Linked DNA regions of Mus musculus. Each later gene encodes a partner of the first gene's protein in a complex. Links are inferred from orthologs where the notes say so. Each region holds a gene or a part of one and is shown on either strand. Other genes may lie near its edges.

Region 1 (5,507 bases):
CCTCGGACAGGTTAGTGACACGGATGGTGGCATTGTCGTCAGCTTTGTGGGCAGGGCAGGGGGAGATGGCAGTGAGAAGGGTGCCACCGCTGGACCCCACGCCCACACTGCAGGAGTACTCACAGCCCTTGCCTCCGGGGGCGGGCCTCCCACCTCCTCACCTCTGCGGTTTGGCTGCATGGACTCCCCACGGCGGCTGGCCCCGTCCCGGAGGCTGGGGGGCACATACTTCCCTGTCTTGCTCTGGGCGGCCTGCACGGGCTCCAGCTCTGGAAAGCAGCAGACGGAAGGATTATTCTGCCCCAGCCCCCAGGTACAGACACCCAGTCATCCTTTGGTGACCCAAACATCACATCTAGGAAGCTACCACTCTTCAAAGTCTCTGCTAGTGTCACGAGCAAAGTGAACAAGCCACAGGGCAGACACAACAAAGCCAGCACTGCAGAGCCCCAGCGCTGGACACCACCAGCCCGGCAGCATCCCGACTACAGGCACACAACAGTGAGGATGTCCCTAGGCCACTCATCCATGACAGTGAGAAGCAAAGTTCCATACAAGTCACAAGAGGCAGCCACCCCCACAGGACACATTAGATTATGGCCACACTGAGCCCAGCACATACATGGTGGATGTTGCCTGAGTATATACGTGTATACACACACACACACACACTGCGTATATATGTACACACACACACACACACATACACACACACACACACAGAGTATATATGTACACGCACGCATGCACGCACGCATACCCAAGTTAGAGTAAGCTATCAGTCACACATCAGGATGACCATGCCCGAAGCCACTCAAACTTGGCCACAGGTAATGCAGGGAAGAGAAGAGCACACTACCACAGAACAGCTGAGACCCTCCCAGGTCCCCACGTCCACACCTCCTGGCAGTTTCTCCTTCTCCCCAGTAGACAGGCCGAGCTGCTCAGCCAGCTCCTTCTGCATGGGTCCTAGTGTGTCCTTGTAGGGGCAACGGGTGGTCCAATGGTCGCCCTTGCAAATGCGGCAGGACACAATCTTCTGGCCCTTAAGCTTGTTCATTGGGTCCTCCTCCTCCTGACAGTTTAGGTCCTGGTGGGGTATAGGGAGGGAAGGCTCAGAGGAGGCTGCTGGGCCCGGCCCACACCACCCCCACTGCATTTCTCAGGCTCCAGCTTCACCCAGCTCACCTCTTTGCTAGTGATGAATGTCATAGAGACGTCATCACTGACTGTGGTAGTGGCCACATTGGGCCCCGGTGGGTCAAACTCCGAGTTGCCAAACTTCTTCCAATTCTGGGCTCCCAGAAAACAATGGGGAGAAGTGAGGAAAAGACAGGAAGGATCCTGCAGTGGGTACCCCAGACAGACAACCATTCCGGGGCCTTGAATCCGAAGATCTAGTCTCTCTAGAGGCCTTCCCTGTGGTAATGGTGACAATCCCCATTCCCTAAGCTAAACACAGTGGCACACAACTGTCACCCCAACACTTGCCAGGTGCAAACAGGAGGACCTCAAGACACGCAAGCTCAAAACCAGCCTGAGTTATCTGAGGTAGGTGCTGGTAAGGTAGCTCGTGTGAAAACGTGCAGTACACTTTCTAACACTCATATAAAAGGTTAAGTACATGCTGGGCATGGTGGCGCACGCTTTTAATCCCAGCCCTTGGGAGGGAGGCAGAGGCAGGCAGATTTCTGAGTTCGAGGCCAGCCTGGTCTACAGAGTGAGTTCCAGGACAGCTAGGGCTATACAGAGAAACCCTGTCTTGAGAAAAAAAAAAAAAAAAAAGGTTGAGTACAGGGCTCCACTGTGCCGCTGGCAGTTTCTGGGCTGCTCCATGGCCAGCCTCCCACCAGGGACAAAGGAGGAATCACCCAGACCTTAGGAACCGAGCCAGTTAAACCTGAAACTCATTTCCTGCCTGTAAAACAGGGGCCACAAAGCTCCCTGCCTCCCTAAGCTGGCCTGGAGCCTGAGAAGCTGTGTCTTGCTGAACGCTGGCACGGGACCTTGCTCTCAAGCGTCGCTGTCCCTCCTCTACAAGCCCTCCCCCCTAGGTAAGTAGAGGCTGCTTGCTTCTTCATGTAGACAGGTCAAAGGAGAGAGAATGGAGGTCAGGATGCAGGAGGCTGAGGCAGAAGCATTTAGAATGAAGACCAGAGCTAGAGCCTCTCAAAAATAACAAGCCAGCAAATGGTGGCAATGCCTTTAATCCTAATGCATGTGGATCTATGAGTTCAAGGTCAGCCTAGACCACAGAGTGAGTTCAGAACAGCTAGGGCTACACAGAGAAACCCTGTCTGGAAAAACAAACTACAAACAATAAAACCCAAGAGGGCTGGGTATGTCTCAGTACAGTGTCTGTCACACAAGTGTCCGTCAGACTCTGACCCCGAGCACCCACAGTCAAACACTGTGCACAGAGGCAAACTTGCATTCCCGGTGCAGGCCAGACAGGAAGTGGGGACAGCAGGGTCCCTGGGGCTGTTAGTGCCCAGCAAGCCTAGTCTAGTTCCTAATACCGAGAGACCAGCTCAAACCAAAAGTATGCTGTGCCATGTGCTGGGGGGGATGATGCTGCGCACATCCGCACACAAAAGGAGAACAATAAAAAAACAAAAGTAAATGAATAAATAAAGCATCTAACTTCATCTACTCCTGGGCCCTAACCTTTCAAGGCCTAACACTAAACGTTTACTCCACATCAACAAAAAGGGGCTTCCCAACTCCTCAGGATCAGCCCCAGAGAACACCCTACCCCCCAAATGAGGTAGAATCTCACCTTCCTCCTTGCCACAGCCTTTGATGCCTTCCGGGTCTCAATCCTGAAGGTTCTGACAATCTGAAGATGAATAAGAGAGGAGTGCTTCCAGAGCCTCAGGCCCTGTCTCAGCCACTGACACCCCTCCACCTGAACCCCTGAACACAAAGGCACTGGCCCTATGTGTCCACTTCGACCTCACCTTGAATTTCTTCCCATCTTCCTCTATCTTGTACTCAGTCACTGTCTTTATGTTCCCATTGATGACTTCCTTGGGAGGTGGCAGCGGGTCTGGAGGAAGATGACAGAAACTGATTCCCGGGTAATGGGGACTGGCTGGAAAGTAGGCTTGAGAGTCGGAAGGGAAGAGGAAGCAGGCAGGGATGGACACTGCTCACCTCCGGGCAGTAACTCGGGCTCTGGACTGGTGTCCCCGGTGGGCAGAGGGATTCCTTTCAGGAGCTCGCTGGTGACACATTTGTCTGCCAGAGGGAATTCGGGGAGGAAGGTAGAGTGAGCCACGGGACGGGAACTTTCAAGTCAGAGAGAGAGTGTGTGTGTGTGTGTGTTGTGTGTTTGCGGGTTGCACCGGGGGCACAGCGCAGGGCGAGGGTGGGGCTGGCCACGCGCGGCCCTAGCCGGAGCGTGGGCCCCGGGAACAGGCAGCGGGCGCGGCCACGCTCGGCACTCACCGTCCTCTCCCTCCTCCTCCACCTGGTCGGCCCAGCTGGGCTTCGAGCTGCGGGGACAGGAGATTGGTGAGCGGGTCCCGGCCCCCCGCGCCGCCCAGACCCCCACGCACCCCAGAGCAGCCCCCACGCGGCCTCCCCGGCGACCCCATCGCCACCCCACGCATACTCAAAGTCGCCAGTCGGCATCTCGAAGTCTTAACTCCACGCAGCTCCCAGCCCGGGTAAAGACAGGAAGCCGGAGTAGAAGAGGCTTCCGGTGCCGCGGCCGCAGCCTAGAGCGGCCAGACCGCGGTGAGCACAGCGCCTCCCTGCGGACAAAGGTGGACACGCGGCTCTCGCGCACCGCAAAGCGCTGAGATCCAACCTGGAAAAGGGGTCCAAAAAAAAGCTTCAAAGAACTTTTTAAACTTTTTTTTTCCCCCTTTGGGTAATGGGGCTAGACGTGAGTGTCTCACTCTATAGATAGGATAGCCTCACAATCCTGTCTCAACTCCAAAAGGCTGAAAGTACAGGCTCACGAGCAGTATTCCCAGGGTGGCCTTGAATTCATAGCTGTCTTTCCACCTTACTCTCGTCCGTGCTGGGAATATGAACATGAAATCGCCACACCCGGAACTGATTCGTTCTCTCCCTCTTCCCGGAGAATTAGTTTTCAGCCATCAGTAATCGCAGTGCTGGAGGTGGAAGCTGGAAAATTATGAGTTAAAGGCCATTTTCAGCTACCTCGTGGATTCCAGACTAGCCTGCGCTCCATGCGACTCTGTCTCCAAAACTAAAGGTGTCTTGCTTTGTTCCCCAGGCTTGCCCCTGAACTCCTAAACGCAAGGAATTCACAAATAGCTGGGGCTATAATTGTGTGCCAACAAGCTTGGCTGAAAAGCACGTGTATCAAGAATGCCCTCGCCCCACATCGTTTAGAGGATACCAGGATTCTGGTTTGTTGAAGAAGAAACAGACTCAGACCAAACCCTTTTGTCCTGTGCTAAGACGTCCTTTCTTTGAATAAGAGGCCACCTGGTCTCCTGTGCCTCCTTTGCTGTGTAGCATGCTAGGGTTTATCCTACAACCTTGTTGTGCGTTTGTATTATTTGAAGACAGCATGCTTGTGCATACATAGCACACATGGAGGTCAGGGGACACTTTGCAGACAGTCTCTCCTTCCACTATGTGGGTCTTGGGATTGATCTCAGGCCTTCAGGCTTGGCAGCCAGCCTCCTGCTGTGGTCCAGGAGTCCCCTCACAGACCACACGAGCCCCAGTCTCAGTCAGAGAGAGGCACTTTATTGAGCATACATGTCAGGACTGGTTAACCAGGGCCACAGTCCAGATTCAGGACCTGAACTGTGACCCTGACTTAAGATCCTGCAGGGTTTTTAAGCCTCAAATCCACAAACATCTGGGCCAAGTCACATCACCAATCAGGATTCAGAAATGGGGGGTTTACCTGGGAACATGGTTTTGCCTTACACGTATCCTGCTCCCATTGGTTGGGTATTCAACGGTGGCAAGAGACTTTCCTTGTTGAACATTCATGTCTCAATGTGCCAACCAGGTTGTCAGTTACCCACGCACATGTCTTTCTGCCAAGTAGGATGCCAGTTTCCAGGGAGGTCTTGGGAACTTAAACTTTACTCAGTCATTACTCAAAATGGAAGTCTTATTCCAAAGGGTTTCTTATATTGGTGCAGTTCTCTCTCTCATCTATTTATTTTATTTATATAAACTTGAGCTGTCTGAAGACACACCAGAAGAGGGCATCAAATCCTATTACAGATGGTTGTGAGCCACCATGTGGTTGCTGGGAATTGAACTCAGGACCTCTAGAAGAGCTCTTAACCACTGAGCCATCTCTCCAGGCCAGAGATTTCTCTCTTATGTTGGAGTCCATCCCAGGGACAGCTTATACAGACAAATACCATAAAAATTTATATATGGCTAGTAAGTGCTGCTGGGTGGTTGGTTCAGGTCAAAGCTTATTATGGGTAACTATTCAAAAAAGTTCTACTAACTTCTATCATGATTGGTTTCCAAGGGCACAGGGCATAACAGAATATGTA
Region 2 (3,898 bases), on another chromosome or scaffold:
CAACTTTCAGTCAGCATGAACCTTGAGTGTGTTCTTTAAGCTACCCAGGGCTTCCATCTTTGTCAGAAACAGCTCCTCTCTTGAATAATCCTAGGGTCTCCAAGTGTGTACAGCAGGGAAGGAAACTCACCTCCAATGCGTTCAGTGTCATAATACGCGTACTTCACTGTGAGAGGTGTGAACATCACTCCCATGGTCCTCCCAGGGACACCCATTAAAGTGCTGGGGAAGAAGGAGAAAATTAATCGACCATCGCCCCTGGGAGCAGTTTCCTTGTGTAGACTAGGCTGGGAAAGCAGTCAAAGTTAGTGTCTTCCTCTTGAGAAGGCCGGGACTGTCCCAGAGTTATCTTGTGAGCAAACTTTCCTTTTCCTCTTTGGCTTGGAAAGGTACAGGATGACTTCACACACCATAATGCCAGTGAGGATGACAGGACTCTGGATGCTCCTGGCTGGCCAGACACTCCCATTTCCAGGGAAACCAGACACACCAGAACATTCTTTTCTGGGCCTGTGCTTTTGCTTTTCTTTCTTTTTTTTTGTCTTTTTCGAGACAGGGTTTCTCTGTGTAGCCTTGGTTGTCCTGGAACTCACGCTGTAGACCAGGGTGGCCTCGAACTCAGAAATCCACCTGCCTCTGCCTCCCAAGTGCTGGGATCAAAGGTGTGCGCCACCACACGGGCCTGCGCTTTTCATTACCATGAAAACGCCAAACTAATTCATGTCCCAAACCACTAGATTGGGCGCTAGAAGTAACTCAATAAAATTGTGCTTATTTCAACCCTGCATTTTCATCTGGATTTTGAAGAAAATGAATTTGTAGAGACTAGCAAGGACATGAAGGTAAGGGCCCAGTGCACAGTAATAGGCTCAAGTTATAGTAATAAGCTCTTCTTTCCTCAGATGCTAAAGCCTTCCCCAGCAAGCCCTGACAAATGGTGGTGTAGCTGGCAGCAAGTTTTATGTATCAACACTGCTATGTTACTGTTCAAAAGTATACTTATTTCTAGCTTAAAAGATGTGTTCCCAACAATGCTAGCATCTTCTAGTCTATAAATACTGTGCTTAGTCCTAGGAATAATGAATGCACTAACTAGGGTTTGTAGTAGCTTGACATAAGCTAGGCGATTCCTCTGTTGGATTGGCCTACAGGCAAGTCTGTGAGGCATTTTCTTGACCGATGTGGGTGTACCACCCCTGGGTAGGTGGTCCTAAGTGGAATTAGAAAGCAGTCTGAGCAAGCCAGGGGAGCACAGAGGTACGTGCAGCATCACCATGGTTCTGCTCCAGGCTCCCGCCCTGACTTCCCCCAATGTAGACTGGGATCTGTAGGCTGACATAAGCCTTCTCCTTCCCAAGTTGGTGTTGGTCTGTGTTTTATCACAGTAATAGAGAGCAAACCAAGCTGTGCAGTGGTGGTGCATGCTTTTAATCCCAGCACTTGGGAGGCGGAGCCTGGTCCGAGGCCAGCCTGGTCTACTGAGTGAGTTCCAGGTCAGTCTGGGCTATACAGAGAAACCCTGTCTCCAAAAACAAAACAAAACAAAACAAAACAAAACAGAACGCAAACCAAGACAATGAAAAACTAATGATAATTCAGAAAAGCAACAAATACAGGCTCAGAAGAACCTGATAAACACATCATGTGTGGGTTAACTGTTCCAGAAGATGATGCTAAAGGCACTTCCATTTGGAATGGTTCCAAACAACAAATACTCCAGTGTAAGCAGGACCAGTGAGTGAGTGTGAGTTATGGGGTCCGACTTCACTTTAGAAACTTCTCTAATGACAGCTGTTAAAAGAGGAATAAAGTTCCTGAAGAGAAACTAAGCGGCAGGATTAGACCTGAGCGTGCCCAGGGCTCACCTGACATAGGCCTTGATGCTCATGCGCCCATGCTGGAGACCTGTGTCCACCGTGAGGTGAATGGGGTTCGGGGCCTCCCTGCTGTAGTACTCATGGATCAGCACTGAGTGTTCTGTGATGTCATGGCCTGTGGCATACCTGCAACAGCAATCATAGACGCAGGGCAGCTGACACCAATACCAAATGCAACAGCGCAGCGGGTGTTGCCGGGGTTCTCACACCCATTTTAGCAGTAATTAACAATATGAAAAACTGCATAACAAAGTTGTAATTGAAAATAAATATTCTTGACTTTCTAGGATCAAGTTATCATCAAAATCTCATAGGCTCTCGAGGTCACATGCTTTATATGTTCTATGTCTGAAAGGGGAGACGAGATCTAGTCTGATGACAATGAGACCCTCTATCCACTCCCACCCGCGCCATCTTACCAGCCTAGGATGAGCTCATTTGGGGAGACTTTTTTATGTAATTCATACATATTCTTAGCAAATTCCATGTCAACAGCCACCTAAGGGGGAAGGCAGGAGAGGAGGTTAAGAAGCTACAAGTATATGCTGAATAGGAAAAATTACCAACCCCCACCACCTGAGGAGGCCCAATGTGGACAGGGAAAGCAGAGCTTCAGCTGCAGCTCTGGCTACAGACACAGCACAGTGGGGCCTTCGGGGAAGTTAGGGGTTGAATGGCTGTGAACTATACAGGGGCTGCTTAAATCCTCTCAACTCACTTCATCTTCTGACTCATTGTGTGGCACCGAAAAGCAGTTGGTGACTTCTACCGAGTGCTTGTCAACAGTTCCTGGTAAAGAGAGAAGAGCCAGGCGTTACATAATCCTGAGAACTCAAAGCCCATGGCCCCTGACTACCCAATCCCCCAGGGTCAGGGCCCTTTCTAACTAAAGAGGAACAAGAACTCCTGAGCCTCCTGTCTCCAACAGCCCCATGCTAGGATCACAGGTACGCATCACCACACCTGGCTCCTGTGGTGCTGGAGAGTGAATTCAGGGCTTTATGCACGATAGGCAAGTGGTCTATAACTAAGCTGTTTCTCCAGGTCCTGCTTTTGGAGATGGCCTCAAAGTCAGCAAACACGAAGCCAACACATTAGCCCCAAGTCCAGCATCAACAGAACTAGTATTTTCCAGAACTCAAACTCAGAGACCCCCCCCCCCTTTCCATCACCAGACACGATTAAGCCTTCCTTTGCAAGGTCTCCTTTGCCTGCTATTTCCCCCTACCAGCCCTTCCCCACAATACTCTGTACTTTCTAGAGTAGTAGTTTTTAATCTTTTAATGCTGTGACCATCATGTTGTGGTAACCCTTAACCATAAAATTATTTTCATTGATAATTCATAACTACAATTTTGCTACTGTTATAAATGTAATTGAAATACTTGTGTTTTCTGATGATCTTCTGTGAAAGGGTCATTCCACCCCCAGAGGTTTTCTTACCAGACTTCCTCTCACACCCCTAACTCTCACATTAGTTACTGGATCTCACTGAGCCATAGGTCCCAACTATTCTCACTTGATGTCCTGGTACCTTCCTTTAAGTTCCTCACCCCCTACCCCTTGTAACATGTCTCTGCTAGTGTTGTCTTTTGTTGGCTAGCGTTATGGTTTCATTTTCTGAACTATGTGGTGGTTTGAATATGCTTGGCCCAGAGAGTGGTGCTAACAGGAGGTATGGCCTTGTTGGACTAGGTGTGCCACTGTGGGAGTGGGCTTTGAGACCCTCCTTCTAGCCGGGTGGGACGAAGCCCAGTCTTCTTCTGGGTTCCCTTGAATAAGACATGGAACTCTCAGCTCCTTCTCCAGTGCCATGCCCGCCTGGATGCTGCCATGCTTCCCACCTTGATGATAATGGACTGAACCTCAGAACCAGTAAGCAGCCACAGTGAAATGCTGCCTTGGTCATGGTGTCTGTTCACAGCAATGGAACCCTAAGACAAGGTTCTTAACCCACAGGTATACCTTCTGTCATCTGAACACTCACCAACTTTGACCACTGTGACTGCTTCCCCCATTTC

What was found.
Region 2: Eif3g (region 1) and Eif3f share a complex: the UniProt entries of both Homo sapiens proteins name them as parts of the eukaryotic translation initiation factor 3 (eIF-3) complex. The link is inferred for Mus musculus from reciprocal best matches to the Homo sapiens genes EIF3G and EIF3F.

The regions. Positions count from the first base shown.
Region 1 is NC_000075.6:20,894,928-20,900,434, forward strand, and holds the start of Eif3g (eukaryotic translation initiation factor 3 subunit G), read right to left. Parts: upstream 3,664-5,507; 5' UTR 3,637-3,663; coding exon 3,617-3,636; intron 3,498-3,616; coding exon 3,451-3,497; intron 3,241-3,450; coding exon 3,157-3,240; intron 3,050-3,156; coding exon 2,961-3,049; intron 2,840-2,960; coding exon 2,780-2,839; intron 1,294-2,779; coding exon 1,189-1,293; intron 1,091-1,188; coding exon 901-1,090; intron 270-900; coding exon 162-269; intron 43-161; coding exon 1-42. UniProt on the Homo sapiens protein: RNA-binding component of the eukaryotic translation initiation factor 3 (eIF-3) complex, which is required for several steps in the initiation of protein synthesis.
Region 2 is NC_000073.6:108,936,514-108,940,411, reverse strand, and holds part of Eif3f (eukaryotic translation initiation factor 3 subunit F), read right to left. Parts: intron 2,667-3,898; coding exon 2,596-2,666; intron 2,377-2,595; coding exon 2,297-2,376; intron 2,004-2,296; coding exon 1,866-2,003; intron 223-1,865; coding exon 131-222; intron 1-130. UniProt on the Homo sapiens protein: Component of the eukaryotic translation initiation factor 3 (eIF-3) complex, which is required for several steps in the initiation of protein synthesis.